7 linked regions of the Macaca mulatta genome follow. The protein of the gene in region 1 binds, or shares a complex with, the protein of each later gene. Links are inferred from orthologs where the notes say so. Each region holds a gene or a part of one and is shown in the gene's direction. Other genes may lie near its edges. The genes, in order: SNRPD2, CRNKL1, CWC22, LSM6, SRRM2, BUD13 and CWC15.

Region 1 (2,054 bases):
TCAGCACTTCGGGAGGTCGAGGCGGGTGGATCACGAGGTCAGGAAATCAAGACCATCCTGGCCAACGTGGTGAAACCCACTGTCTACTAAAAATACAAAAATTAGCTGGGCGTGGAGGTGGCGCGCGCCTGTAGTCCCAGCTACTCAGGAGGCTGAGGCAGGAGAATCGCTTGAACCCAGGAGGCAGAGGTTGCAGTGAGCTGAGATCGTGCCTCTGCACTCTAGCCTGGCAACAGAGCAAGACTCTGTCTCAAAAAAAAAAAAAAAAGAAAAGAAAAAGAAAATGTCTGTTAGGCATCCAGCTGGTGATACTCAGAAGGCCAAACAGGACGGATGTGATGGGACAAGGCTGGGGAGACATTGAGGCTGAGGCCCTGACCACCCATCCTCACAGCTCCAGCCTCTCTCACTTGTGGGTTCCATGTTTATCCATGCAGGAGCCTCCTCAACAAGCCCAAGAGTGAGATGACCCCAGAGGAGCTGCAGAAGCGAGAGGAGGAGGAATTTAACACGGGTCCACTCTCTGTGCTCACTCAGTCAGTCAAGAACAACACCCAAGTGCTCATCAACTGTCGCAACAATAAGAAACTCCTGGGCCGTGTGAAGGCCTTCGATAGGTGAGTGCTGGGTCCTGGGAGGTGTTCTGTGCAGGCCTAGAGAGGCTGCCCTAGCTCCAGTCTGAAGAGCTCAAAGACAGGTTTCTCAGACGCCTGGGGTGTATGGCCCAGGGTGGTGGCTCATGCCTGTAATTCCAGCACTTTGGGAGGCCAAGGCGGGTGGATCACCTGAGGTCAGGAGTTCGAGACTAGCCTGGCTAACATGGTGAAACGGCATCTCTATTAAAAATATAAAAACCGGGCGTGGTGGTGCACACCTGTATTCACAGCTACTCAGGAGGCCGAGGCACGAGAATTGCCTGAACCCAGGAGGCAGAGGTTGCGGCGAGCTGAAATCGCACCACTGCACTCCAGCCTGGGCAACAGAGCGACACTCTGTCTCAAAAAAAAAAAAGAAAAAAAAAGATAATATTCAACGACCTTGTGAGGAAGGTACTGTGATTGTCTTCCCTCTTAAAGATGAACAAACTGGCACAGAGAGGTGCAGTCCTTTGCCTCAGCCTCAACCTAAGGACTGGCAGAATTGGCCTTGGCAGCTTGGTCATCCAGCCTAGCACCTGCATCCTTCCCCAAGCCATGCTGCTGGAGGGGGCGAGCAGCAGGCAGCGCTGTCAGAGGCACCCCCCTCACACCCAGTGCCTCCCCTCCCTGTTCCCCACCAGGCACTGCAACATGGTGCTGGAGAACGTGAAGGAGATGTGGACTGAGGTCCCTAAGAGCGGCAAGGGCAAGAAGAAATCCAAGCCAGTCAACAAAGACCGCTACATCTCCAAGATGTTCCTGCGTGGGGACTCGGTCATCGTGGTCCTGCGGAACCCGCTCATCGCCGGCAAGTAGGGGCTGCCTATCCATCGACAGAACTCACTCTCTCGTCCTATGAAGACCATTGCCATTGGTGTTGAGAATAATAAAGCTCTGTGGTTTTTTTCTAGTGGTATGTGTTCCCAGAGCCTTGTGAGTGGGGTGGATTCAGGAGGGCTTGGGGGAGGCAGCTAATATCAAATTGAATGCTGGGACCAGGACCCGTGAGCAAGTGGAGAGGCCCTGGCTCTGCCCCATCGAGGCCTCACTTTCCCCCTCCGCAAAGCAAACAGGTTGGATGGAAATGAGCACCCAGTTGTGGCACTGGAGAATATTTTAGTTCTCCTGCTTTAATCTTTCTGAGCTTCGCCTTGTCACTCTGTTGCTCTCTTCTCTGCCTCTTAAAATGAATTGGCCTCGCTTGACCAAAATATCTTTTGGGGCCAGGCATGGTGGCTCACGCCTGTAATCCCAGTAGTTTGGGAGGCTGAGGCGGGCAAATCACCTGACATCGGGAATTCAAGACCAGCCTGGCCAACATGGTGAAATGCTGTCTCTACTAAAAATACAAAGATTGGCCAGGCGCAGTGGCTCACGCCTGTAATCCCAGCACTTTGGGAGGCCAAGGCGGGTGGA
Region 2 (3,500 bases), on another chromosome or scaffold:
GATTTGACCTCTTCACTCTAGAATGTGGGACTGTTTTAAAGCATGAATTCTGTTATATATGAAATTCTGAACGTTACCAGAGGACTTACGGGTAATAGTCAAAATATTTTTTATTAGGGACAAGCATAGACTATTTTAAAGTATCAGTTAGTTGATTGTAACCTTCTGTAGTGGATTTCTTATTCCTCAAGGATTCCAGGATGTAATTTCTCTTAAATATGAACGAAATGAATAACCAGTTTAGTACAAGACTTAAAATAGACCAAGGGTGCTGTCATTTTTAGTCATTTGCCCTTTGACTTGACCCTTTTTGCCTTCTTCCAGACTTTTGAAGATAACATAAGAAAAAACAGGACTGTAATTAGTAACTGGATAAAATACGCACAATGGGAAGAAAGCCTAAAGGAGATTCAGAGGTAAAATTGCTGAAAGTGTAGTTTTGTGTATAATGATTCATAGGTTAACAGATACCAAAAAGAAAAGAAGAAAAAGTTAAAGCACAGATAAAAGATTGTGCCTCGGGTAGAAATTGTCAACTATGGTTCCATGAAACCCTAGGGTTCCCTTGAGGGCCTCAGGAGCACTGGGGTAGAATAGTCCCGGAGGGCGGGGCGGGAGACACTTTACAGATTGATCTTGTCAGCTGTAGCTAAAGTAGCACAATTTCATCTGCTTTCTATATATTGAGATTTTTTTTTTTTTTAATGTTTAGCTGAAAACCAATGGCCAAAAAAATAAAAATTGCAATCTGGCCCTTCCTGTTGTCTCGCTTTCTGCATTCTCCCCTCATACCTCCTTCCCCCGCTGCGCCTGTGTACGTGCCACTCCCTGAATATATCATGTCTCCTTATTGTGAGGCTTGGCTGTTCTCCTCGCCTGGAATGAGCACCCCCTCCACACCAACCTTAGTTTCCTGGTAAATTGGAACTTGCCTCGAGTTCTTGTTTCTAGAGTTACCTACTACTTAGCCTTTTCCACCAGACATTTTCATTTCTTCCTCTCTGCTTCCTGTGCAGATCTTGACTATAACATAAATCACATTGCATTATAATTGCATGCATGTCTTTCTATAAGACTTTGTAAGGTACTTGAGAGCATTATATCTTTTCATCATCTTATGCCCAGAACCTGGCTCGTGGTAGACACCTAATAAAACATCAGGGCATTCCAGATAGTGTGAAATAACCGCTGCATGTGTTGTGTGCACTACTTTTGATGCCCTGCAAATCTTGCTTCTTAAGGGCTCGATCCATATACGAGCGTGCTTTAGATGTAGACTATCGAAATATTACACTCTGGCTGAAATATGCAGAAATGGAGATGAAGAATCGCCAAGTCAACCATGCTCGAAATATCTGGGACCGGGCCATAACAACGCTGCCTCGAGTCAATCAGTTCTGGTAAGTTTCTGATAAAACAGCCTTTTGTAGCCTAGAAAAGTTCCACATTTTCTGTATTTATTTTATTTACATGATGATAGTTTAATTTTACATCCTACTTTTTCTTTAAACATAAATGCTTTTTAATGTCCCATAGTCTGTTAAGTCATAATTGTGATGTTCTACAGCTATGTAATCAAAACTAAAATTTTGGTTGCAATCTTTTGTTCATAAGCTTCTTGTTGAACTAGGCAACTTTTAATAAAAAATCTTTTTTTCCAATGGTTCACCCTTTTTCAGATTTATATTTCAATAACAAAACATGTTCGATTTAACCTTTAAGAAAGATAAAATCTTAAATCTTCCTCCCATTCAACAATGGGAGAACTAAACCACAGCAGATATTTTCGGGTGATTTTGTTAAAGGTACAAGTACACATACATGGAGGAAATGTTGGGAAACATTGCCGGTGCCCGGCAGGTGTTTGAGCGCTGGATGGAGTGGCAGCCTGAGGAGCAAGCCTGGCACTCCTACATCAACTTTGAACTGAGATACAAAGAGGTGGATCGGGCCCGCACCATTTATGAGCGATATATCCTTTGGACGAGAACTGAGTGGTGCCATGATTGTCCTGGGTGCTGCTGCTCCTGTAGAGGTGTCTCATGGTCAGGACACACAGTCATTGACATCAGACTAGAAGTCAAGAATGCCAGTTTATCAGCTTCCCTATGTTTTGTAGGGAAAGAGATTGGTCAGAATGAAAATTTGTGATCTGGGTAATTAGTCTTTTCTAGTGAGAGTTTGGGTTTATTTTATTGTAGTGCTGAAAACTAATGTTTCCTCATGGAAAATGATATTCCTGGGAGATTGTTTCCAGGACATCAAGGAGATGCCAAAATCGGTGATGCTTAAGTCCCTGATATAAAATGATGTAGTATTTGCATGTAACGTATGCATAGCCCCCCATATAATTGAAATAATCTCTAGATTACTTATACCTAATGTAATGTGAATGTTATGTAAATAATTGTTATTCTGTGTATTTTAAGGTATAATAACCAAAAAAACTACATGTTCAGTATAGAAGCACTTTTTTCTCATGAATACTTTATCTCGGGTTGGTTGAATCTACAGATATGGAACCCATGGCTGGAGGACTAACTGTACTAAGGTTCTGGCTGCCCTTGCCAGTCCTGTTTTTCTAAGGTTGGTGTTGGTCATTACTACCGTTACTGGAGTTCATCAAAGGTTTACTGTTTATTGGCTGTGTGGCTCCAGTGAGTCATTTAACTCCTTTGAGTCTTCGTGTCCTCTTCTTAAAAACAAGAATAAAAACACCTTTGTTGGGCTGTTGTGAAGATTAAATGATACACATGAAAGCACTTTTGAAACTGAAGTACAGTCATTCCTCATTATTCACAGATTCCATATTTGCAAAATCACATATTTGCTAAAATTTATTTGTAACCCCAAAAATCAGTAATTGTGGCACTTTCACAGTCATTTGTGGACATGCACACAGCATGAAGTCCAGCAAGGCGAGGCTCTGCCTTCTGGTCTTAACCTCGTATAACCATGCCCAGAGCTTGGAGACAGGAAGGGCCAGTGCCATGTAGTGCAAGGAGCTCCGGCCCTGGGGCCAGTTGGGGAGTTTGAATCTGTCAGTGGGGCAGCCTCAGTCCAATCGCTTAACATTTCTGAATCACTTTTCTTACAAAATAATGAAGATAGAATCTGCTAGGATGAGTTCTTTTTAGGATTTAAGATGATCATGAATGTGAGATTGTATATATACATGTTTCCCCTAGGCACAGTGGTTCAATACTCAATAATTAAGTGTTTGCAGTGACTACATAGAACATAACTACCACAAATAATGAGAATCAACTTTACAATGCAGTATTAAGATCTTTTTATTTTTTTACTCTTCTCTCTTTAGGTGACAGTGTTAAGATCTTAATTATGTCTAGTAATTTTAATATTATTAGTTTGACAAAAGCTTTTATAGTACTTGCTATGTGCCAGGCATTATTCTAAGTACTTTACAAATATTGTGGTTTAATCCTCATAACAACCTTGCAGTGTAGGAACTTCTCCATCCTACAGATGAGGGAGCTGAG
Region 3 (3,500 bases), on another chromosome or scaffold:
TCTTTTTTTGAGACAGAGTCTTGCTCTGTCACCCAGGCTGGAGTGCAGTGGCACAATCTTGGTTCACTGCAAGTTCCGCCTCCCGGGTTCACGCCATTCTCCTGCCTCAGCCTCCTGAGTAGCTAGGACCACAGTTGCCCGCCACCACGCCGGGCTAGTTTTTTTTTTTGTATTTTTAATAGAGATGGGGTTTCACCGTGTTAGCCAGAATGGTCTGGATTTCCTGACTTCATGATCCGCCCACCTTGGCCTCCCAAAGTGCTGGGATTACAGGCGTGAGCCTCCGCGCCTGGTCGTATTTAATATTCTGTAACATAACACTTTGATGCTAATCAAAACACTTTTAGATATTTTATCAGATTAATCTGACTTAATACTATACATGGTTACTTGACTGCAAACCATTCCTTTGAAGAACCATTCTGTTCACTTTTATAAAACAATAAAGTTGGTGTCTCCTCCACTTCATTCCCTGGTGTTCATGAGAATCTAATAAATACCTGCTATTTTACAAAAACCTCTATTCCTTGCCACCACATAGGTATAGTCATATATGTTTAGAATCACTTTGTAGAATAGAGTTGATCAATTTTAATCTGTTTCAAATGCAAGTAATTTTATCATGCTATTATTCAGTTTGTGTTTATTTTATATTCATTATTTGATGGTTTTGATTTAGCTTCTGTTTAACCATGAAAGTGGTAAAATTGTTCTTGCTCATACTCAAAAGTTTCCTTCAGATATATATTATCATTTCCAGTTTAATATCATGTACAACAGGAAGAATTTTAAAATCCTGCCTAGTCTTATTTCACTAATACTAAATGTTTTGACTCTTATTTATATGAAGATTCTTTCACTCTTAGAAATCTTTTAGATTTTGACCTAATTAGTCATATTATTACGGTGATAACTTGCTACTTAAGACCAAGGAAACTTAATTTCATATCTGTAACCACAGAGATATATTTCCATTTTTAAATGTGTATTACACTTAGGCTAGAGATTGTTGGCATTGCCATAAAACACTTGATATGATAAATGTTTTGCATCTTCTCAACTGTGGTAAAGGGCAGTATTTTCTTGTCACTGATAGAAGACTGTTTGACACCCCTCCTCCCCTAGTAAAAAGAAGTAGCGGGTGTCTTTGATGTTGTGCACAACTGGAAGAAGGTATCTCCTGAGTTGAGATTTAGACTTATTTCCTCACCATCTCAAATCATTGTCTGGCTTTAGAAAGGTGTATGTGTGGTGGTTTAAACATTCTTTGTAGTTCGTTTTCTTCTCATAGCAAAGCTTCTCAGTAGAATTTTGTTCCCTCTCTTCCTGGTGTTGTTTATAAATGTCAGTTTTTGAACATGGCCAGTAGAAATAGTTTGATATAATTTTTTTTTAAAAAGATGGAATATTCAAAACTGTTTTGTTCCAGAAGTTATTAAGATATTTTGTGATGAAATTAGTATTCGTGTAACTTAAGGACTATTTGCGTCTAATAGAGTTGCTGATAGAATGAATTGGGAAATGTATATAAAGAATTATGGTCATGAAGAAGGGTACTATAAATCATATTACTATTTCTCATGTAGTAATTATGAAAACAATTATCTTATTAGAAAGTAGTATATGATTTTTAACATATTTTATCTATGACACTTTCCGTACATAATGGCTAAGAATATTTCTTCTAAAGATAATTCAGATAGTTGTATTCAGCATAGAAAATTAAAATTTTTGGAACAGTCATCTGAAAATTCTTAGTAGATAGATAATAAAAGTGATAGAAAAATTGTATCCCGTATTTGGAGTATTTCCATGTACTTCATAAAACTTTGCCCATCATATGTGCAATATATTTATTGTAACAGATTTACTAATTTTTAGAAATCATAAAAATATTTTAATGTATGTAAAAGCATTTTCTTTCTTCCATCTATATGTATTCTATTTAAGGCACATGAAGTTTTATGCTTAGAGATGCTCACTTTACTCCTGGAAAGACCAACAGATGATAGTGTTGAAGTAGCTATTGGTTTTCTTAAGGAATGTGGCCTCAAATTAACACAAGTGTCACCAAGAGGAATCAATGGTAAGTGTACATTTTTAATTTGATGTTAAGTTTTTGTTTATTGTAATATTTATTGCTTATTTTATTGTCTTTTCTTTCTGTTAACCTTTAGCTATATTTGAACGCCTTCGAAACATTCTTCATGAGTCTGAAATTGACAAAAGAGTTCAATATATGATTGAAGTGATGTTTGCTGTACGGAAAGATGGATTCAAGGACCACCCCATTATCCTAGAAGGTCTTGATTTGGTGGAAGAAGATGATCAATTCACTCATATGCTCCCTCTGGAGGATGACTATAACCCAGAAGATGTTCTTAGTAAGTCTGGGGCATGTTAGGTGGAAAGAGGTATACCAACAAATGTAAATATAGAAAATAAACATTAACTTTAAAATTTTTTTTAGATGTTTTCAAGATGGATCCTAATTTTATGGAGAATGAAGAGAAGTACAAAGCTATTAAGAAAGGTATGTAAAATTTTATAAAATTAATTTGGATAAGTAGAAGCAATTTAAGTAGTTATGTAATACTGATAGGAAATATTTAGAGATCGTTGATACTTGCCTAATGAAATCTCTGCTCTTATAAAGTTATTCTCTTAGCTATTTCCTTGGGCATTATTTTTTTCCTGGTACTTGCCCATGATTTTTTACTTCATTCTGAATTACTGACCCCATTGTTCCTTTCCTCTTTCCCTTTAAACTATGCAACCCTTACATCTCACCCATCTTAAGAAATATTCATAGATTAGTAGTAGCCTTTATTTAGCTTCTCTACCACTTACAGTCTGTGCCACCCAGTTTAATATTCAATTAAGTGGTATACTTTATTGTAAAGTGCTATACTTTATTGTTTCTTGAGGTCAGGTTGATATCCTTCTGGGAAGATGAATTATAGTATTGGTGCCTCTCTGATAAAATAAATTGATCATTTTCATTTGTATATCATTGGTATACTGTAAGCACTAACTTTGGACAGGTTTTGATTTGTAATTTGTCTTTGACATTACTAGCTGAGTGACCTGTAGCAAGTTACTTGTTTGATGGAAGACTAAATGTTACCTTTCTATGGAAGGATATATAAAATACAGTGTTGTGTATTATCACAGACAATGATAGCTATTATTACTGTTACTATTTTCACATTTGTATTATTTTCCTCCTAAAGCTAACACTCAGGCCTATTTACATAATAATTTCATGGGCTTATTTCTCTTGAGTTGTAATTTTACTGGAGAAGTATTTATTGCTGTGGAAGCAATAAATATTTACCTTTGTATTAAACCCCAAAAGTTTGTATTAAAACCTCTCTGATTATAATAGAAATGTAGAGTCGGTTAGGTTTGTAAAATCTTTTATCAGGCTAACAGAGCACCATTGGGCAAAATATAATTTTAGTTTTTGTCATTTGTTTGCTTTTAACATAAAGACCAGC
Region 4 (4,202 bases), on another chromosome or scaffold:
TAGCTCATGAAATAATTCAGGATGCCCACCCCGTGTGTCAAACTGGGCCCTTACCCAGCTACTGCCCTTGGAGAAGGCTGCAGCTGCTCTGCAGATGAACTAGGCCCTTAAAACTCCTCATGGCTCCCTACCCACCACGCTAGTGTTAACAGCTCAATTAGGGCTCTGTAGGAAAGGGAAAGAAGTTTGAATCAAAATTTTATTTTATTTTTTTTTTAATAATTTAAACAACCAGTAAGGAATGTGCAATTTGATGTCTTGCAAAGAAAGTTTTTAGGAACAGGCCTTTTTATCCTGTTATGTTTGTACTTTGCAAGTAATTATTTGATTTAAACAGTACTTTTCTTAAAATTTTTATTTATATTATATTTTATATTGCAAGAACTTCAAATACAGTCCTCTCAATAAATCAGTAACTGTTTGGTCTTTACCCAAACTGAGCTTTTATAGAAGGATATAAGGAAGTCTCTATTCTTTACCAAATCACATCCACTTGTTTTCTGTCCCTGATATCAATCAAAAGTTCATTTCTTCTGCCTTTAGCCAAAAGAAGGTTACAAGGGAGGAATTCTTTATCTCAGAAAAAAATTCTGCATCTTAGATTTTATAACACCTAATGGGGTTAAGGATCTGTGTTGGAAGATCTTATTGCTTTGTGTGTAGCGTTACAAACCATAAATAAAATTAAAGTAAGTTTTCAGCTGATGAGAGTAAAGGAATCAAGTCTTGGGGTAACAGTTCTCTTTTTTCCCCCTTCCAATCCCATTAATAGAAAGAGTGTTGAGAATTCATGCAAAATTCCAAACCAAGTTCCCATAGTAGCACTTAAATAATGTCTGCACACCATTTCCAATTGGAACAAGTTTTTAATGTAACACAATTAATGTCATTATAATTCGGAGTTACTTGAGTGATTTTAATTATTTTTTAATCAACATTGCCATGGAAACAGTCTCTTGCTAAAATGGCTTAAGTCTTCACACATTTAATAAATATCCAGAGGTAGATTTAAAGACTTGAGGTGTTTTATTTATTTATTTGCTTTAAACTATTCAAGGACGTTTCTGGGTACACAGTGCCGTTACTTAAACAGTAAATTCCAGTTTCCTATGACTTCAAGTTATTTTTTACACTTCTGCAAATAAATCCTGGACAAAAGATCACTTCTAGTTTCCTGGATTTTTGTTTTTGTTTTATATTATATTTGTTTTGTATTCAGATTTCTGTCAGAGGAACTCCAGTGCACCAATTTTGCTACTAGACAAAACAGGATTCTCGGATTTGCGCGCTTCGGCGCTGACAGGCTTTTCGGCCCCAGCGGGCTGCCGTAGCAGAGAAGAGCAGTGATTGGCCGAGGCAGAAAAGTGCCGCTGCCTCGGCGGTTTCGCTTTTGGCTGCGATCATCCGCGGAGGCCGGACTCGTGGGGCGCCTGGAGTGAGGGTTCTGGATCCCGCCCGCGAGGTGAGCCGCACGGCTGCGCGGGCCGATGACGGGGCCGGGCGTAGCCCCGGGTTCGACGCCCCAGTGTTCAGTCGCGCTGTGGAGCGGCGGCTGCAGCGGCCCTAGGCCGGGCGAGGCAGCCCCGGAAAGGGCCTGAGGGGAACGGGCTGGGGCTCCGGGAAGGGGCCGCTGAGTGGCAGCTTTCCGCGAAATGCCGCGTCCAAGCTCTCCGCTCACGGAATGGCCGGAGAGGTCTGATAGTGGGCGCCGGGACCGCCCTCAGCGAGGTGCTTAGACTGCGCAGAGAGTAGCGGCACCGTCCCGGCTCCCACCGAGTTGGCGTCCGAGACCAGTTGAGGTTGTTGAAGTTCCCCAGGGAGCCCCGAGGCTAATCCCAGGATTCGGCGGGAAAGCGGATCCCGAACCCAGGCCTAGGCTTCGCCAGTCTTCCAGGGCTTCAGGGAATTGCTAACCCTTCCCTACATCGGGGTGGCTGCGCCTGACCACAGGAATTAAGGACTCGACTCGCCTGTCTTACTGAGTTGTCAGGCCTAGGAACCCAATTGTATGGTCTTAAGTCCTATTGCCCGAGGTTTTCTGTGCGTTCGCGTGTCCGCGCGCGTGCATAGCAGGCGTTTTTAAGATGTGTAGCATTAGGATGAAGCGGATTACCCTACCCCACTGCTCTTAGTAATATGTGACTATTGTAGAAAATTGCAAACATGGAAGACTTTAGTGAAGAAATAGTATTCACAACCCTTTCACCTACAATCTTTTTCTCCTGTGTATGCTAGCTTCTACTTGAGCTAGGAGTGTACATGTTTAATCACTTAACAGTATAGTTTACCACTTCCATTTAAAAACTCTTCCTAAATATTATTCTAGTTTTGTATCTTCTTTTGATTGACTGTCCCTCATTGTGGATCGCAATGTAGGTCCCATAAATTATTCAGTCATTTCCCGATTGTGGGATATTATAGATTGTTTTTGAATTTTTGAATCTCTTAGCACCCCAGATAATACTTTGATAAACCTTTTCCCCCCTATTTTTTAGATTATTTCCTTGGACTAGATTCTCAGAAGTGAAATTATCAGATTAGATGCTTTCATCTGTAAGGCCTTTTTTAGGCCTTCGTACACATTGCTGCAGTGTTTTCCAAAAAAGTTTTTCAGGTGTTTGGCAATTTTACTTGCTTGAATATTGTACAGAAATCTTGAGAGGCTTATGTTTGTGGGTGTGTGTGTGTGTGTGTGTGTGTCACTGGAGTTAATGCGTTACTACCTGAATGTTAGGGCAGGAAGAGACTTAAGTGGTCATCTGGCATAACTCCCTTATTTTGCAGATGAGGAACCTGGGGCCATGAGAAGTGAAATGATGAGTTATCCAAGTCACACAGCTAATTAAGTAGCAGAGCTGGGATTAGAACTCAGGTTTCCTGCCTCCCAAGTGAGTACCCTGTGCTGCATCAGGCAGTCTCTCACTGAACTGTGGCATAGTAGATATTAGAATTTAAAAATTTGTTTACATCACCTGGATTATTCTCTCCTTTTAAAAGTGTACTAACAGATTAATGATCGGAGGGACCTGTAACACTGAGAAATTGGAAAGTGATTATTTTCATGGCTAAGACTAGAAATCCATTATTTAGAATGGCAACCCCTTCAAGATTTTGACAGTTGTTTTCAGGTTCCCTTTATGTTAGAATAAAACATCCCTGATTAATTATAATCTACACTCCATCATTTGGTTAGAATGTAGCTTTTGGTTATCATTTGCTGTACTTTGGAGATTTCTTTAAAACTCCTCACTTTAAAACCAAAGAACAATGTTGTTGGTGGTTTTTTTTTTTAGGGCTTATAGCGGAGATTCTCAGCTTCCATTGACATTTTGGGCTGGACAGTCCTTTGTTGTGGAGGGCGGTCCTGTTGTAAAATGTTTAGCAACATCCCTGGTCTCTACCCACTAGTATAGCAGTAGCACCACCTTCCTCAGTCTTGACAGTTCAGTGTCCCCAGATACTTCCAAATGTCCCTGAGCAGGGTGGGGTGGGGTTGGGGAAACTGCCCCTAGTTGAGAACCATTTGCTTAAATAAATTATCTGGAGAACTTCATAAAATGTAAAATACAGTGCTTTTACCTGAGTAGACTTCAGGAATCTGCATTTTAACAAGCATCTCTAGATTTGGAAACAGCTGGTTCTTGAATGACAGAAAGGGTTGTTTTCTCCGTCTTTGGTGGTCCTAATAGAGATTACTTGGTTAGTATTTGTTGAAGTACGTGCATGATCCTACTAGTCACTGTATCCATAGTTTGGGTTGGTGGGGGCTGGACAGGGATTTTGCTTGGCACTGGCCTTGAATGTCTCTTCCACAGACTTGGGCAGTGTGCTTAGGTACCAGGGATACCAAGTGAGTAGGATATTTCCCCTGTCCCCAAGGAGCTTAAAACTCACCATGGGAGACCTGTCAGCAAATGGAAAAATTACAAAGCAGCCTGATAAGGACCATGACCGAGAGTGGAAAGAGGTGCTCTGAGTGGACTCACTTCGCCTTTGGGAGAGAGGGAGAGAAGTAGCGCCTGCTGCTCAGGAAGGAGGGATTGGTATGAAGCCTTCACAAGACAGCGAGGCACTCCACTGTGTCAGAAGGGAGGACTTGGAGAGCTGTTCTTCTCCGTGTCTGATCGCCTCCTCAGACACTGATCTGTTAGTCTAGTGCTGCAGTTACTTGGATTGTAATGTTTCCTTGCAAGTTTTTGCTT
Region 5 (4,300 bases), on another chromosome or scaffold:
ATTCGAGAACAGCCTGGGCAAGACCCTGCCTCTTAAAATCACGCCCAAATCGTAGTATCAAATATAAATCTTTGCACTCAAACGGACAGTTCATTACGTGGCACCGCGTCCTGTTGCGGATCAAGGCCACTTGAGTTGGTTAGGACAGCTAAGCCCACGTCTTGGGCTGCTCGCCAGCGGTGGGGCTAGATATGACCTTGTGCCCGAGCAGCCCAGCGTCTTACAACTCTGCTGTGAGGGACGGGGGCTGATTATCAGGTCCAGAATCACGAGTTTAGAAACATTAACAGGAAGTACGGTACCGAAAAGTGGAAAACTTTAAGGTGCTTATTATTTTTCTCCTGACTTGTTCCTGCATGTGCCGCTCCACGGGTATCACGTCCCGGGGGGACCCTGGCCTGGCTGCCCTACCGGAAGCGAAGCGAACTCCACCCCAGGGGCAGCCGTCTGGCCTCAGTCCAGTCTACATCGGGAGAGCGTGGCCCATGCCACAGGCAGCTGGTTGGGCCCCTGGCACAAGTCTAGGGCCTGCAGCCAGGCTCGGGGGCTCCGGGGGTGCCCGCTGGCTGGGGTCTGAGGCGGCTTCTCTCGGGTACGAGAAGGCCGACTGCTGTGCAGCCGCGGGCTCGCTCGGGAAACCCACACTTACACAAAAGCGGCAGCACCACTGTGCCTAGGCTATCGACTCCCAACATGGGGAGACAAAATGGCCGCCGCGCCCAGAGCCGAAATTACATCCGGGCTCCGCGACACGTACGAACCACAACTCCCAGAATGCTCTGCCTCGACGGCGGGAGGCGAGACGCGCTCGGGCCCCGCTTAGGTGGCGCTAGGCCCTGTGGCTCCTCCCTGCAGCGGAAGGCCTCCGAATACGCGGCGTCTTAGGTCGATTCCTCCATTCTTCGTTGCACTGGCCAACGGGACGCTTAGTCTTTTGGCAACGGGGTGAAACCTGCCTTGTGCCTGAAGAAACGATACTTCCCGTTGTGGTTTCGGCGCCTGCGCAAAAGGCTGCGGGACGCACTCCAGTTCCCGGCAAGCCCCGCGACGCGCGTTTGCGTGCTGACGCACGGAGTTAGTCGTGCTGACGTGCATCGCGGCCCAGGCGGGGTGCGAGTGGCGCAGTCGGAGCCCGCTGCGGCCCCTGAGGAAGCCAGGAGGCGTCGGCGTCGGCTGAGGCGGGCGGACCGGCGAGGCGAGGCGGCGGCCTCAGGCCCCGAGGGACTCGGGAGCTCGCGCAGCGGCGGCGGCAAGACCTCTCCCCCTCGGAGGCGGCGGGCGGAGGCGGCGGGTGAGAGGGTGAGGGAACCAGCGAGCCGGGTGGGGGAGGGGCGGCGGCCTCGGCGCGAGGCCAAAGCGCGCGGAGAACGGCCCAGGCCGCCGAGCTCTTCCGCGCGCACGCGCGCTCGCCGCCCTTCGCTGGCGCGGACACCTTCGCCTCCCTTCCCCCTTCCCGCCGTTCCTGTCGCGCGCGGGCTTCGACCCCCCCGTCCCTCCCCCATGACAACGGCGCTCGCAGCCGCCTGTACTGGGGTTCGCGAGCGCCCTTGGCGAGGGGGGAGCGCGCCGCCTCGGCTTCACTCCTCCCCACCACACGTGCGGCCGAGGGGCCTTCCCGCAGCTGCCGCTTTCGGCCCGTAAGTGGCGGGGAAGGGGCGGCGGCGGGGGACGTGCTCCCGGACCCTTGCCCCAGGCTCTCGATCTCTTGTTCTCGGGCTTCTCTTCAGCGTTGGGCTGCCCGTGCCAGGGGCCTCCCAGACTGCGGGACGCCGCGCAGCCCCCTCCCCCATTCCGCAAGGCCGAAAATAGGCCCCCGGCGCTGCGAGGAGGGCCTTGAACTCCGTGGGCCCGGTTTAAATGGTTTGGACTGTGCTATCAAGCCTTTGAGTTGTTAGTGGCGGGGAGAAACCCCAGATCTTAAAAATTGTGAAGAAAGTGAAGGCATTCAGTTTACATTTGTAAGGTAGACTGTTCCTTTTTTTCTTACACTTTTTTAACATTTCCTGAGAATTCGTGTTAAAACTAAGGAGGCTTCTGGAGACCTTCGTTGGGAAGAAAACGCCAGACTCGTATATAAGTTTTCTGGTTGGTTTCAGGCGTTATTTGGCACACAGCTCTTCTGAAGCTTGGTTTCCACTCGCCTTCAGTTAGGACGAATCTGGATCAAAATTTCAGAATGTTTTGTTGCCTTTCATCCTAAGTGCGTGGGCTTAGGGCTCTTCTAAAGCTACTATTTTAGCTTTCTGGGTTCTTTGTGTCCACTCAGCCGCGCTGGAGCGCCCCGGTGCTGAGCTGGCTGTGCTTCCTGAGGTCCATTTTCTTGGACAACCCTTGTGTCCCCTTTTGGTACCGTTTCCTTTTTTGCATATTTTAATGTTGAATTTAAGGATATCTTTCTACTTCCTTGTTAGCTTGGCACTCTGATAGTTTCCCAACAGAAAAGGGTCTTTTTGTCTTTCTTTGTACCTTTTATTTTCTGCTTTTACCTTGGTTAACTTTTGCATATCCGCTGTCTATGGCCCCCACTTTAAGAGTTTTATAAAATCGTTTGGTTTGGTGATTTGTGTGTGGTGTCGATGTTCCTACTTTCCGTGTCTTAGCACCCCCTTAGATGCTGTGGGGTCGTCGTCTTTTTTTGTGAGGTAGGGGTGGCTCATTCCCTAAAAGTTCTCCGAAACATTGTGACCTAATATCCTTTGCTTAGCACCTACTGGTTTTCCTTTTTTTTCTTTCTTTTTTTTTTTTTTGAGACGGAGTCTAGCTCTGTTGCCAGTCTGGAGTGCAGTGGCGCGATCTCAGCTCACTGCAACCCTCCGCCTCCCGGGTTCAAGCGATTCTTCTGCCTCAGCCTACGGAGTGGCTGGGATTACAGGCACGCGACGCCCCCCAGCTAATTTTTGTATTTTTAATAGAGACTGGGTTTCACCATGTTGGCCAGGCTAGTGTCAATCTCCTGACTTGGTAATCTGCCCACCTCGGCCTCCCAAAGTGCTGGCATTACAGGCGTGAGCCACCTTACTCGGCCTGGGTTTCCCTTCGGTTTTCCCTTCTTAGGGAGTGGGAGGATTTTTGTGTGAGGTGGTATGGAAGTGTGGGTGAATGGTTGAGCTGAAGAATTAATTGCAGGTCAAAGACATGCCTGCAAGGGAAGCAGAAATTTGGTGGGGTAGGGAGAGGCAAAGAAGGACCTAGTTTTAAACTGTGGGGAGGATTGGAACTAGAAGATGAAAATGAGGATGGGGGTGTAGAGAAATTGATTTTTTGAGTCATAATGTTTTTCATTTTTTCCTGGATTTTTGCTTGCCTTTTCCAGGTTTAGTTTCCTCTGTCACCTTCTACTTTCGATATTGGGTCTGCTACTGGGATTGGGTAGGGACCCATCCTTAGTCTAGGGTGAGGAGGTATGGGCTAGCACCCTTCTATATACTCTGTGTGCGTGCATGCACTAGTATATTTTTCCAAACATTTGTATGATGCTTCTTCATTCTGGAATTTTCTAAATGCATCCTTCCCTTTTATCCAGTTCTTTTACGTCTTTGATCACTCTCTCCACTTTGTCTATTCCATAGGGTTTTTTCTGGGTAGTTTTTCCTCATACGTGTATGTTCTAGGAAACTATCTTGGAGAGGATGAGGATGAGAAAGAGAGTATGTGTAGCCAAGGAATCTCACTAGAAAAGCTGGGACTTGAGAATTTTTCAGAGTCACATCAGGGTTGGGACTAGTTGAAAGGCTAGAACTTGGGACGAGGCATGGGGTTAACACAGGAAAGAAGGAAGCGGCAGGGCTGGGAGAAAAAAAACTAGGAAGTGCTATCCAGGGGATTGGTGGGGAAGGCCAACAGTTGGAGATTAATGAAAGTGGGGTGTAGAGAGGGTTTCTAGATAGATTTAGAGCAAGGAATATGGAGAAGGTATGGGAACGGTTGGAACAGAGACTGATTTGATGTGTTTAAATAGAGCAGAGTTGAAAGCAGATAATATTTGACAGCTGGCAAGACTTGGAGGAACTGCAAATTGTAGTAAATCCTATTGAGAGGAAAGAAATTGGAGGAATTGGAGGAATAAAAGATCAGGATGGTTGATAGGATCTTTAAATATTTGGAATCAAGGAAATGGCCCTTACCTGGGAGGTGAAGTGTATGAAGATTATCCAAGGTTCATGTGTGTTTCTGATGTGCGTGCTGACCTTTAGTTGGGGTGTGAGGCTGCACATTCTGAACCAAGTAGTCTGCTGTTCAGATACCTAGGGACTGTGTAGTTTATTTCGTATTCATATAGGGTGGTCTGAAATCCGTAGGT
Region 6 (4,245 bases), on another chromosome or scaffold:
GGAATGAATGTACAACATACTGACTATAGCTAATAATTCTGTATTGTTTACTTGAAGCTTGCTAAGACAAATTTAAGTGCCCCCCACCAAACTAGTACATAAATAAGTCTAGTGAAGGATGTTTTAATTAATTTGATTTTGGTAATCATTACACAATGTATAATTATATCCAATCATCACATTGTACACCTTGAATATATATAATTTTTGTCAAATAACCTTAATAAAGCTGGGAAGAAAACGATAAAAAAGTGACAATCTAACATATGATAAGGTAAAAAGATATTTCAAGAAATTTGGATGACCTCTTGCACCCCACTTTGCTAGCCTCTACTCCCAAGAGTCATGTTCTGGCTATGTGAAGTTGAGCAACTTCTTAAATCTTGCCAAGCTTCAGTTCTTATCTGTAAAATGTGATATTGAAACGATTTGAGAATTGTGAGGGTTAAATGAGATAATTCAGGTAAAGCTCTAAAACCCCTGCCAAGAATAAAGTCTTTTCTTCCCCCCCAAAACTTGAGTATTAGAATTCATTCTCTCTGGTTTCTCTCTTTTGCTATGCTAAAAATAGATCCAGGTCCTTTTCATTGTCAAGATGTTAGTTTCCTTCAAAAGATAACTGCGAGCTACTTGTAATATAACACCAGAAGAGTTATACAGGTCTTAGAAACTACGTTTTTCATAGTAATTATGTTGGTTTGCACTTCCTGGCTTCCCTTCTCAGACGGTAGGTACCTGGAAGCCTAGTGGAGCAGATTCTCCCCACTTGAAGATACTTATAAAAATAACGAACATAGTTCCGATGACCATACGCCCACCATATGCCCAACACTGCTCTGCGCACTTCACACAGTAGTGTTATCTCAGCCTGTGACCATTCCGAGTTAGGTGCCGGGATTCTCCCCGCTTTGTGATAACTTGCCCGAGGTAGTACAGCTAGCCAGCTATGGAACCAGCGCCTGTAGTCCCAGCTACTCGGGAGGCTGAGGCAGGAGAGTGGCGAGAACCCGGGAGGCGGAGCTTGCAGTGAGCTGAGATCCGGCCACTGCACTTCAGCCTGGGCGGCAGAGCGAGACTCCGTCTCAAAAAAAAAAAAAAAAAAAAAAACAAACTCGGCTACGTTGCAGCCTGTGGCCCTCCACTTTCTTGCCCGTGCTTTGCAGTTTAGGTAACCTCTGGGGGCGGGGTCTTTTGGGTCAGGTTGTGGCCTCACAGAACAGCGCTTGCTGCGGTTGGATGGATGGGTGGGTGGGTGGATGAAGAGAAGAAACCTGGTGGCGTCGTCCCAGGGCTGTGGAGCGCCCCGAAGGTGAGCGCATCCCCCGCGAGGGCACCTGCCAGCCGCGCAGTTCTCAGCACTCTCCGCCACTTCCGGCCCTGGCCCCGCCCCCTCGGGTGGCTGGCGTCCGTTACGCGTTGAGGAATTTTGTCCCCAGCGCCGACCCGTCTCTGCCCTCGCCGCTGCCATGGCGGCAGCTCCGCCGCTTTCCAAGGCCGAGTATCTGAAGCGTTACTTGTCCGGGGCAGATGCCGGCGTCGACCGGGGGTCTGAGTCCGGTCGCAAGCGTCGCAAAAAGCGGCCGAAGCCTGGCGGGGCCGGCGGCAAGGGGTGAGTTGGTACCGGCCGGGGCGGGGCCTGCAACGACTCGCCACCCCTCACCCTTCCCAACTCCGCCCTCGGTCGCCTGGTGACTCCTTCCCTCTTGGCGGGTCTCCCGGCTTCTCCGCCGACCCCTGCTCATGCCCAGGGCCCCACTCACATCGCTTGAGGCCCCGCATTGCCTCTGCCGCCCCGCTTACACCTCGAGCCTCTGAGCAGTAGCGTCAGTGCGTTAGAGCCGGGCTGTAACTTTGATTACTCTTTTCCCGCCTTGGTAGACTTCCGTCCTCTCCCATGGAGAATGAATATTGCGCCCCGAGAATAATGGAGCGGATTCAAAGCCTCTGTGCTTGAATCTTTAGGGCCCGGTACCTGCCTGTGGGGATTCCCAAATCCCAAGGACTTGGTTCTGAATCAGAGACCTTGGATCACCTCCTGTTACTCTTAGTAATAGTCCTACTAACAAGAGAAGTTAACATTTACATAATTATACTTTTCTTGCCAGGCAACATTATAAGAAATTTAAACATAAGTTTGTTTAAGCCTTACAACAGTACCATGAACTGGGTATTATTTTCAAATGGGAAAACTTTGTGGCCCAATATAGTGGGCCCTACCAAATCGTTTTCCACCCAGAACCACAGAATGTGACATTTAGAAATAGGGTCTTTGGAGATGTAATCAGTTAAGATGAAGTCATACTTGATTAAGGTGGGTGCCAAATACAAAATGACTGTTTTCCTTTTAAAAAGAGGGAAGTATGGATACAGACACAGCAACAAAGGAAAAACGACCATGTCTAGATGAAGGCTGAGATTGGATTGGATTTATGTTGCCAAAAGCCAAGGTATGCCTGGGGCTACCAGAAGCTGGGAGAGGCAAGGAAAGATCCTTCCCTACCGACTTTGCAGGGAGGATGGCCTTGCAGACACCTGGATTTCAGATTGCTAGCTTCCAGAACTGTGAGAGTTTCTGTTGTTTTATGCCACGCAATTTTGTGGTACTTTGTTACAGTAACCCTAAGGCACTAAGATACCCAGTGAAGTCACATTGTTCTAAAGAACTAGTCCATGTTGTTTTCTGGTTTGGTGCTTGCCTTATTATTGTCCTCGTCTTTCTGCTTCGCTGACTTGTGTGGATCCTTTGGAGGCAGTGCCATGTGATGAAAGTAGCTTGAGTGTTGGAGCAGCACTGGTCAGAGTTCGAATCCTAGCTGTGCCACTTTATAGGCTGTGTACCCTTGGGCAAAGTGTTTCATCTCACTGAACTGCAGTTTCCTTATCTTTAAAATGGGAATAATACTGAATAATAATGCTTTTATGAAGTGGTGGTTGTGATTAGAGGGATTGCATTAAGTGACCCTGGCTTTTTGAATAACTTCACATCATGGCAGTCATGGTTATTATTGGGGCTCAACTATAGTTTATCCATGTAACAAGCATTTATTGAATACACTGTATTCCAGTTACTGAGGATGCCTCTGTGAACAAAAAGAAACATAGTCCCTGTTCTTGTGGAGCTTATAGTTTAGTGGGAATACAGGCTTTAAGCAACTAATTACACAACTAATTGGTGTATTTTCTTTATGATAAATGCAATGAAAGTATTCCAAGAGTTTTTAACAAGAGTTCTTAGTCTTTTTTTTTTTTTTTTTTTTTTGAGACAGAGTCTCACTCTGTCCCCCAGGCTGGAGTGCAGTGGCATGATCTCAGCTCACTGCAAGCTCCAACTACAGGGTTCACGCCATTCTCCTGCCTCAGCCTCCCAAGTAGCTGGGACTACAGGCACCCGCCACCACACCTGGCTAATTTTTTGTATTTTTAGTAGAGACAGGGTTTCACCATGTTAGCCAGGTTGGTCTCGATCTCCTGACCTCATGATCCACCTGCCTCAGCCTCCAAGTGTTGGGATTACAGGCGTGAGCCACTGGGCCCGGCCGGGTCCGTGGTCTTGAGTGAGTGTGAGATAGTGGGGGAATCCGGGAAGCAGTCAAGAAAAGTTTGCCAGACTGGGTGCGATGGCTCTCGCCTGTAATCCCAGCACTTTGGGAGGCCGAGGCGGGCGGATCATGAGGTCAGGAGATCAAGACCATCCTGGCTAACACAGTGAAACCCCATCTGTACTAAAAAAATACAAAAAATTAGCCGGGCATAGTGGCAGGCGCCTGTAGTCCCAGCTACTCGGGAGGCTGAGGCAGGAGAATGGCACGATCCCGGGAGGCGGAGCTTGCAGTGAGCTGAGATTGTGCCACTGCACTCCAACCTGGGCGACAGAGCAAGACTCCGTCTCAAAAAAAAAAAAAAAAAAAGTTTGCCAAAGGAAGTTAAATTTGTGTTAGGACCTGAAAAATGAGGAAGAGTTTCCTGGAATGAGGAAGAGTTTCCTAGCACTTTGGGAGGCCAAGGCGGGTGGATTGCTTGCATATAGGAGTTTGGGACCAGTCTGGGCAACATGGTTAAACCCTGTTTCTACAAAAAATTAAAAAAAAAAAAAGTCAGGCACAGTGGCACATGCCTGTAGTCTCAGCTACTTGGGAGACTGAGTGGAGAGAATAACTTAACCCCAGGAAGTCAAAGCTGCAGGGAGCCATGATGGTGCCCCTGCACTCCAGCCTGGGCAACAGTGTGAGACCCTGTCTCAAAAAA
Region 7 (4,192 bases), on another chromosome or scaffold:
CATTAAGAAATGTGATTTTTATCCTAACTGCAGTGAAATTTTACACAGGATAGTAACACCATTTGATTAATTTTAAAAGATCACTCTCTTGGCTATATGCAGCATTGACTGTAGGATAAAAGATGACGCAGGAAGATACAATAGGAAACAATTACAATCCAGGTAGGAGATGGTGTTGGCCAGGACAAGGGTAATGGCAGTAGAATAAAATTTCGGGTAAGTTTTAAAAGTAGAATTGGTAAGACCTGTAAATGAACCGTATGTGAAAAGTGAAAGAAAAGGAATTTAAGTAGGCACTCTGGGATTTTGGTTTGAGTAACTAGTATGATGATCGTGTCCTTTAGTGAGACGTGTAAGACTGGAGGAGGGATACCTTTAGTAAGAAAAATCAAGATTTTCATCTTGAACTCTATGAGTGAAAGGGCTTTTTCTGCTTTTCTTTCTTCATTTAAAAGTTGCAAAGAATTTAGAGGTAAGAAAGCATTTAAATATTCAACTTTGTGAGTTCTTTATATTTTAAACTAAGTTGGGGAAGTTGAATTTTCATTTGTTTAACAAATATTAATTGAGCAGCTACTATATGTCAAGGTCTATGTGATGAGATACTAAGATTAGCTAAACAATCAAGATCTCTGTTCTCAGGATTTTTTTTTATGGAAGGGAGGAGACAGGATTGGTGGGTTTTTGGTTTTTGGGTTTTCTCCTTTTCGTTCTTATTAAAACTTAACACTTAAGTAGCCATCTTAGTAATTACATCTTGTGCTCCTGGCAGTTGGGCCCACCGTTCTAAACGCTGTCGTAAATATTGACATCTCCCCTCCCACTAAAACTAACGTTTTTTAAATAAAAAATTTTAGCAAACATTACGAATACAACCTTTGCTTTGAAGTGTTAATATTTTTGCAGGAATGTACCTTTGTAAAGATCGTGGTTGCCCCGTACATATTTGTTCTTTCTTCATATCCAATTAAATGAAAACACTAGTTTTTCCGAAGCCCAACTCTCTAGGTTTGTTGGTTCTAGCTCAGGAGAAAGGATGGAAGCAGGAGTCGTTGGATTTAAACAGTTTGGTGTAATCCTTTTCCACGCTCTCTCCCGCTAGCCGGGGACGTGGTGTCGGCTACCCGGGGCTTTCCGTCCACGCAGTACCGGAATGAAGGAGTCTGGGAGGGGGTCGGGGACGGAAAAGACGGAAGAGACATTAAGTAATTGGTTCTTGAAGGTATAAAATGATATTTAGGGTCTACTCTAAGGCACTGATTTCAAACGCCCGCCCCCTGGGCCGTTTCGGCCCCGCCCCTTAGTGCCGTTACGCCGACTTCCACTTCGGCCACTGCGGATTGGTCGTTGCTTCCGCCTCCGAAGCGCTTGGATTTTGCTTCCGGGTCGTAGGCGCTAGCCCTGGGCGCAGAGGTTTCTGGGAGCCCGGAGTCGTAATGGCGTCTGTATGATCTTCGGAGATTGCTGCATCGGACCTCGGCCAGTGTGAGCGGCAGGAGGATAGGTTATCTTCCTCATCCCGGTGGGACGGGAAAGGGCAGTTGGGGTCGGAGTCGGCGGCAGAGTGCAGAGTGCGGGCGGTGGAGGACCTAGAGCAGCGGGCTAGGGGCGAAACGGAGTGCCTGTCAGGCGCGTCCGGAGCTCTCGGGCCGCAGAGGAGATCGCAGCATAAAAGGCAGCGCGCCTACCGCGTAAAGCGAACCCCAGGTCCTCCTTTCACTACCCCTCGCACCCCTGCGGCGCTGGGCACGGGTTAAGGGGCAACGAGTTTCTGGTTATAGCCAAAGACTAGCTCACGAGAGGCCGGAGTGATAATTCCGTTAGTGTGTGGGAAGGGGCGGACTCCCAGCTCCAGATAACCCCGTTTCTTCTTTGTATACATGTCTCTTACTCTTTTTGAAAATTAGGAGAAAGCACTCCCCCCCCCCAAAAAAATCCTCCCAGTTCGCCCACCCTCCCCACACACTTGCTTTTCCGACACTAACAGGGTTTTAATGACTGCATCTGCTAGGCAGTATTCTTGTGACTGCTCCAAGCAGAAAGTAACTTAAGGAATGGGTCCCTGATTTTTGTCATCAGAATCCTCTGGGGCTGAGGTTCCTGTTTTGTTTTTGTTTTTGTTTTTTTTGAACAGTCCTTAAGTTATAACCCACAAACGATCTGATTTATAATATGATGCCTGTTGTAGGAGAAAATTGGCTCAACAAAAGGTTAAGAATTTTTTTCTATGTACCTGTCATTGAAGTTTAACACACTTTCCTTAGTAACTTTTTTCTCAGACACTTAGTAACTTTGTCAGTGATATTTTTTGTTTGTTTTTAGCTTTTGTTTCTACTAGCCTATTTGCTATTGTGTGAAGTTTAGATAAAATGCAAACCTTAGAGAGTCTGGTAGAGTAAGGTTGAGTTGGAAATTTTTAAAACTTAGTCATGGTGGTACTGTATTTTTCAAGGCTTTTGACATGTCAAGTGTCATAATTCTTATAGTAATCCTATGAGGAATATCTCCATTCCACGGATGACAGAAAGTTAAGCCAGGTGACTTGCTCAAGCCCATATAGTCAGAAGGAGAATAGGGATGCAAACTCAGATCTTCATGACAGAATTTTTTGTACTAAGACAAGCCTGAGAAGCCCTATTCGTTGTATGGCCTAAGCCTCATAATTTGTTTTCCTGAAAACTTTTGTTTAAGAAGATTAAGCAGGTTTAGGGGAATGAGTTTTAGAATTTATTTCACTAGTATGGATATTAATACTCTGTAAAATGAGTGTTTGTATTGTTGTAAATAACTTGATTATATTTTTCTTCAAAGCATAAAAGATGACAACAGCAGCCAGGCCAACCTTTGAACCTGCAAGAGGTGGAAGGGGAAAAGGAGAAGGTGATTTGAGCCAACTTTCAAAGCAGTATTCAAGCAGAGACCTACCCTCTCACACAAAGATAAAATACAGGTAGTAAGACTTTCTTTTTTTTCTTTCTTTTTTTTTTTTGTTGAGACAGAGTCTCGCTTTGTCGCCCAGACTGGAGTGCAGTGGCCGGATCTCAGCCCACTGCAAGCTCCACCTCCTGGGTTCACGCCATTCTCCTGCCTCAGCCTCCCGAGTAGCTGGGACTACAGACGCCGGCCACCTGCCCCGGCTAGGTTTTTGTATTTTTTAGTAGAGACGGGGTTTCACCGTGTTAGCCAGGATGGTCTCGATCTCCTGACCTTGTGATCTGCCCATCTCGGCCTCCCAAAGTGCTGGGATTACAGGCTTGAGCCACCGCGCCCAGCCTCTTTTTTTTCTTGTTCACAAAACAAGACCAAATCTGTTAAATGGCATGGTCATGATATAGTAGTATGTTCGAGTTATGTCACTTATCTATTATCATAGGATTAGAATGCAATAGGATGTTTAACACTAAAATTCTGCCCTGTGGTTTTAAAATGCAAAATTCCTACTAACCAGAAATTTTCGTATGTAGATACAACAATAAATAACAGAAATAATAATGCCTCAGAGAGATTATGCACTATCAGCACCAGTCAATATATTAAAAGTATTACTGTTAAGTTCTGAGTTGATAATACCAATAAAAATTAAAGACATTTTAATCACGTAAAGCCTTATTATAGGAAAATGCGTGATTGAATTTGGACTTCTTGAAATATTGGGAACATCACAAGAGTGGCTGTTAGTAACTTTCAGATTAGATTATGATCTTATCTACTTCCCTTTTTTATGCTTGAAGGACAAAGTCTCATTCCTGAATTGTCTTCCATTACCACAGTCGTGTGTGTGTGTATGTGTGTGTGTGTTTAAGTACCATTTTTGCCCTGGTTTGTTTCTACTTTAGACAAACTACTCAGGATGCCCCTGAAGAGGTTCGTAACCGTGACTTCAGGAGAGAGTTGGAAGAAAGAGAGAGAGCTGCTGCAAGAGAGAAAAACAGAGATCGTCCAACCCGAGGTACCAACACTATCCAAGACATTTATCTCTAAAATTATGTTGTTGATAGTTTTTCTTTTATGTAGCAACTGGAAAATATTAACCATTTGTTTGCTTTTACAGATTGATGTGAGCTGTAATACTTTCTTAAGTCATTAGAGATAACAATAACAAATATTTACCAAAGGCTTATTTGCCCAGGCACTGTGGATGTGATTTCACTGTGGATAATGCTTTCAGTGTGGGCTCCTCGTGCCCACAGGT

Evidence for each region.
Region 2: SNRPD2 (region 1) and CRNKL1 share a complex: the UniProt entries of both Homo sapiens proteins name them as parts of the minor spliceosome. The link is inferred for Macaca mulatta from reciprocal best matches to the Homo sapiens genes SNRPD2 and CRNKL1.
Region 3: SNRPD2 (region 1) and CWC22 share a complex: the UniProt entries of both Homo sapiens proteins name them as parts of the minor spliceosome. The link is inferred for Macaca mulatta from reciprocal best matches to the Homo sapiens genes SNRPD2 and CWC22.
Region 4: SNRPD2 (region 1) and LSM6 share a complex: the UniProt entries of both Homo sapiens proteins name them as parts of the U4/U6-U5 tri-snRNP complex. The link is inferred for Macaca mulatta from reciprocal best matches to the Homo sapiens genes SNRPD2 and LSM6.
Region 5: SNRPD2 (region 1) and SRRM2 share a complex: the UniProt entries of both Homo sapiens proteins name them as parts of the minor spliceosome. The link is inferred for Macaca mulatta from reciprocal best matches to the Homo sapiens genes SNRPD2 and SRRM2.
Region 6: SNRPD2 (region 1) and BUD13 share a complex: the UniProt entries of both Homo sapiens proteins name them as parts of the minor spliceosome. The link is inferred for Macaca mulatta from reciprocal best matches to the Homo sapiens genes SNRPD2 and BUD13.
Region 7: SNRPD2 (region 1) and CWC15 share a complex: the UniProt entries of both Homo sapiens proteins name them as parts of the minor spliceosome. The link is inferred for Macaca mulatta from reciprocal best matches to the Homo sapiens genes SNRPD2 and CWC15.

The regions. Positions count from the first base shown.
Region 1 is NC_133424.1:58,224,554-58,226,607, reverse strand, and holds the end of SNRPD2 (small nuclear ribonucleoprotein Sm D2), read left to right. Parts: intron 1-302; exon of another isoform or gene 303-437; coding exon 438-617; intron 618-1,253; coding exon of another isoform or gene 1,254-1,279; coding exon 1,280-1,454; 3' UTR 1,455-1,554; downstream 1,555-2,054. UniProt on the Homo sapiens protein: Plays a role in pre-mRNA splicing as a core component of the spliceosomal U1, U2, U4 and U5 small nuclear ribonucleoproteins (snRNPs), the building blocks of the spliceosome.
Region 2 is NC_133415.1:63,975,942-63,979,441, forward strand, and holds part of CRNKL1 (crooked neck-like protein 1), read left to right. Parts: intron 1-324; coding exon 325-416; intron 417-1,241; coding exon 1,242-1,400; intron 1,401-1,805; coding exon 1,806-1,972; intron 1,973-3,500. UniProt on the Homo sapiens protein: Involved in pre-mRNA splicing process. As a component of the minor spliceosome, involved in the splicing of U12-type introns in pre-mRNAs.
Region 3 is NC_133417.1:84,904,553-84,908,052, reverse strand, and holds part of CWC22 (pre-mRNA-splicing factor CWC22 homolog), read left to right. Parts: intron 1-1,950; coding exon 1,951-2,086; intron 2,087-2,177; coding exon 2,178-2,384; intron 2,385-2,470; coding exon 2,471-2,533; intron 2,534-3,500. UniProt on the Homo sapiens protein: Required for pre-mRNA splicing as component of the spliceosome. As a component of the minor spliceosome, involved in the splicing of U12-type introns in pre-mRNAs. Promotes exon-junction complex (EJC) assembly.
Region 4 is NC_133410.1:154,723,737-154,727,938, forward strand, and holds the start of LSM6 (U6 snRNA-associated Sm-like protein LSm6), read left to right. Parts: upstream 1-1,402; 5' UTR 1,403-1,462; intron 1,463-2,784; exon of another isoform or gene 2,785-2,888; intron 2,889-4,202. UniProt on the Homo sapiens protein: Plays a role in pre-mRNA splicing as component of the U4/U6-U5 tri-snRNP complex that is involved in spliceosome assembly, and as component of the precatalytic spliceosome (spliceosome B complex).
Region 5 is NC_133425.1:4,063,404-4,067,703, reverse strand, and holds the start of SRRM2 (serine/arginine repetitive matrix protein 2), read left to right. Parts: upstream 1-1,500; coding exon 1,501-1,637; intron 1,638-4,300. Other genes in the region: uncharacterized protein LOC144338337, read right to left, coding at 927-1,502. UniProt on the Homo sapiens protein: Required for pre-mRNA splicing as component of the spliceosome. As a component of the minor spliceosome, involved in the splicing of U12-type introns in pre-mRNAs.
Region 6 is NC_133419.1:117,445,731-117,449,975, reverse strand, and holds the start of BUD13 (BUD13 homolog), read left to right. Parts: upstream 1-1,445; 5' UTR 1,446-1,466; coding exon 1,467-1,609; intron 1,610-4,245. UniProt on the Homo sapiens protein: Involved in pre-mRNA splicing as component of the activated spliceosome. As a component of the minor spliceosome, involved in the splicing of U12-type introns in pre-mRNAs.
Region 7 is NC_133419.1:95,762,736-95,766,927, reverse strand, and holds the start of CWC15 (spliceosome-associated protein CWC15 homolog), read left to right. Parts: upstream 1-1,392; 5' UTR 1,393-1,485; exon of another isoform or gene 1,486-1,504; intron 1,505-2,811; 5' UTR 2,812-2,819; coding exon 2,820-2,950; intron 2,951-3,836; coding exon 3,837-3,949; intron 3,950-4,192. UniProt on the Homo sapiens protein: Involved in pre-mRNA splicing as component of the spliceosome. Component of the PRP19-CDC5L complex that forms an integral part of the spliceosome and is required for activating pre-mRNA splicing.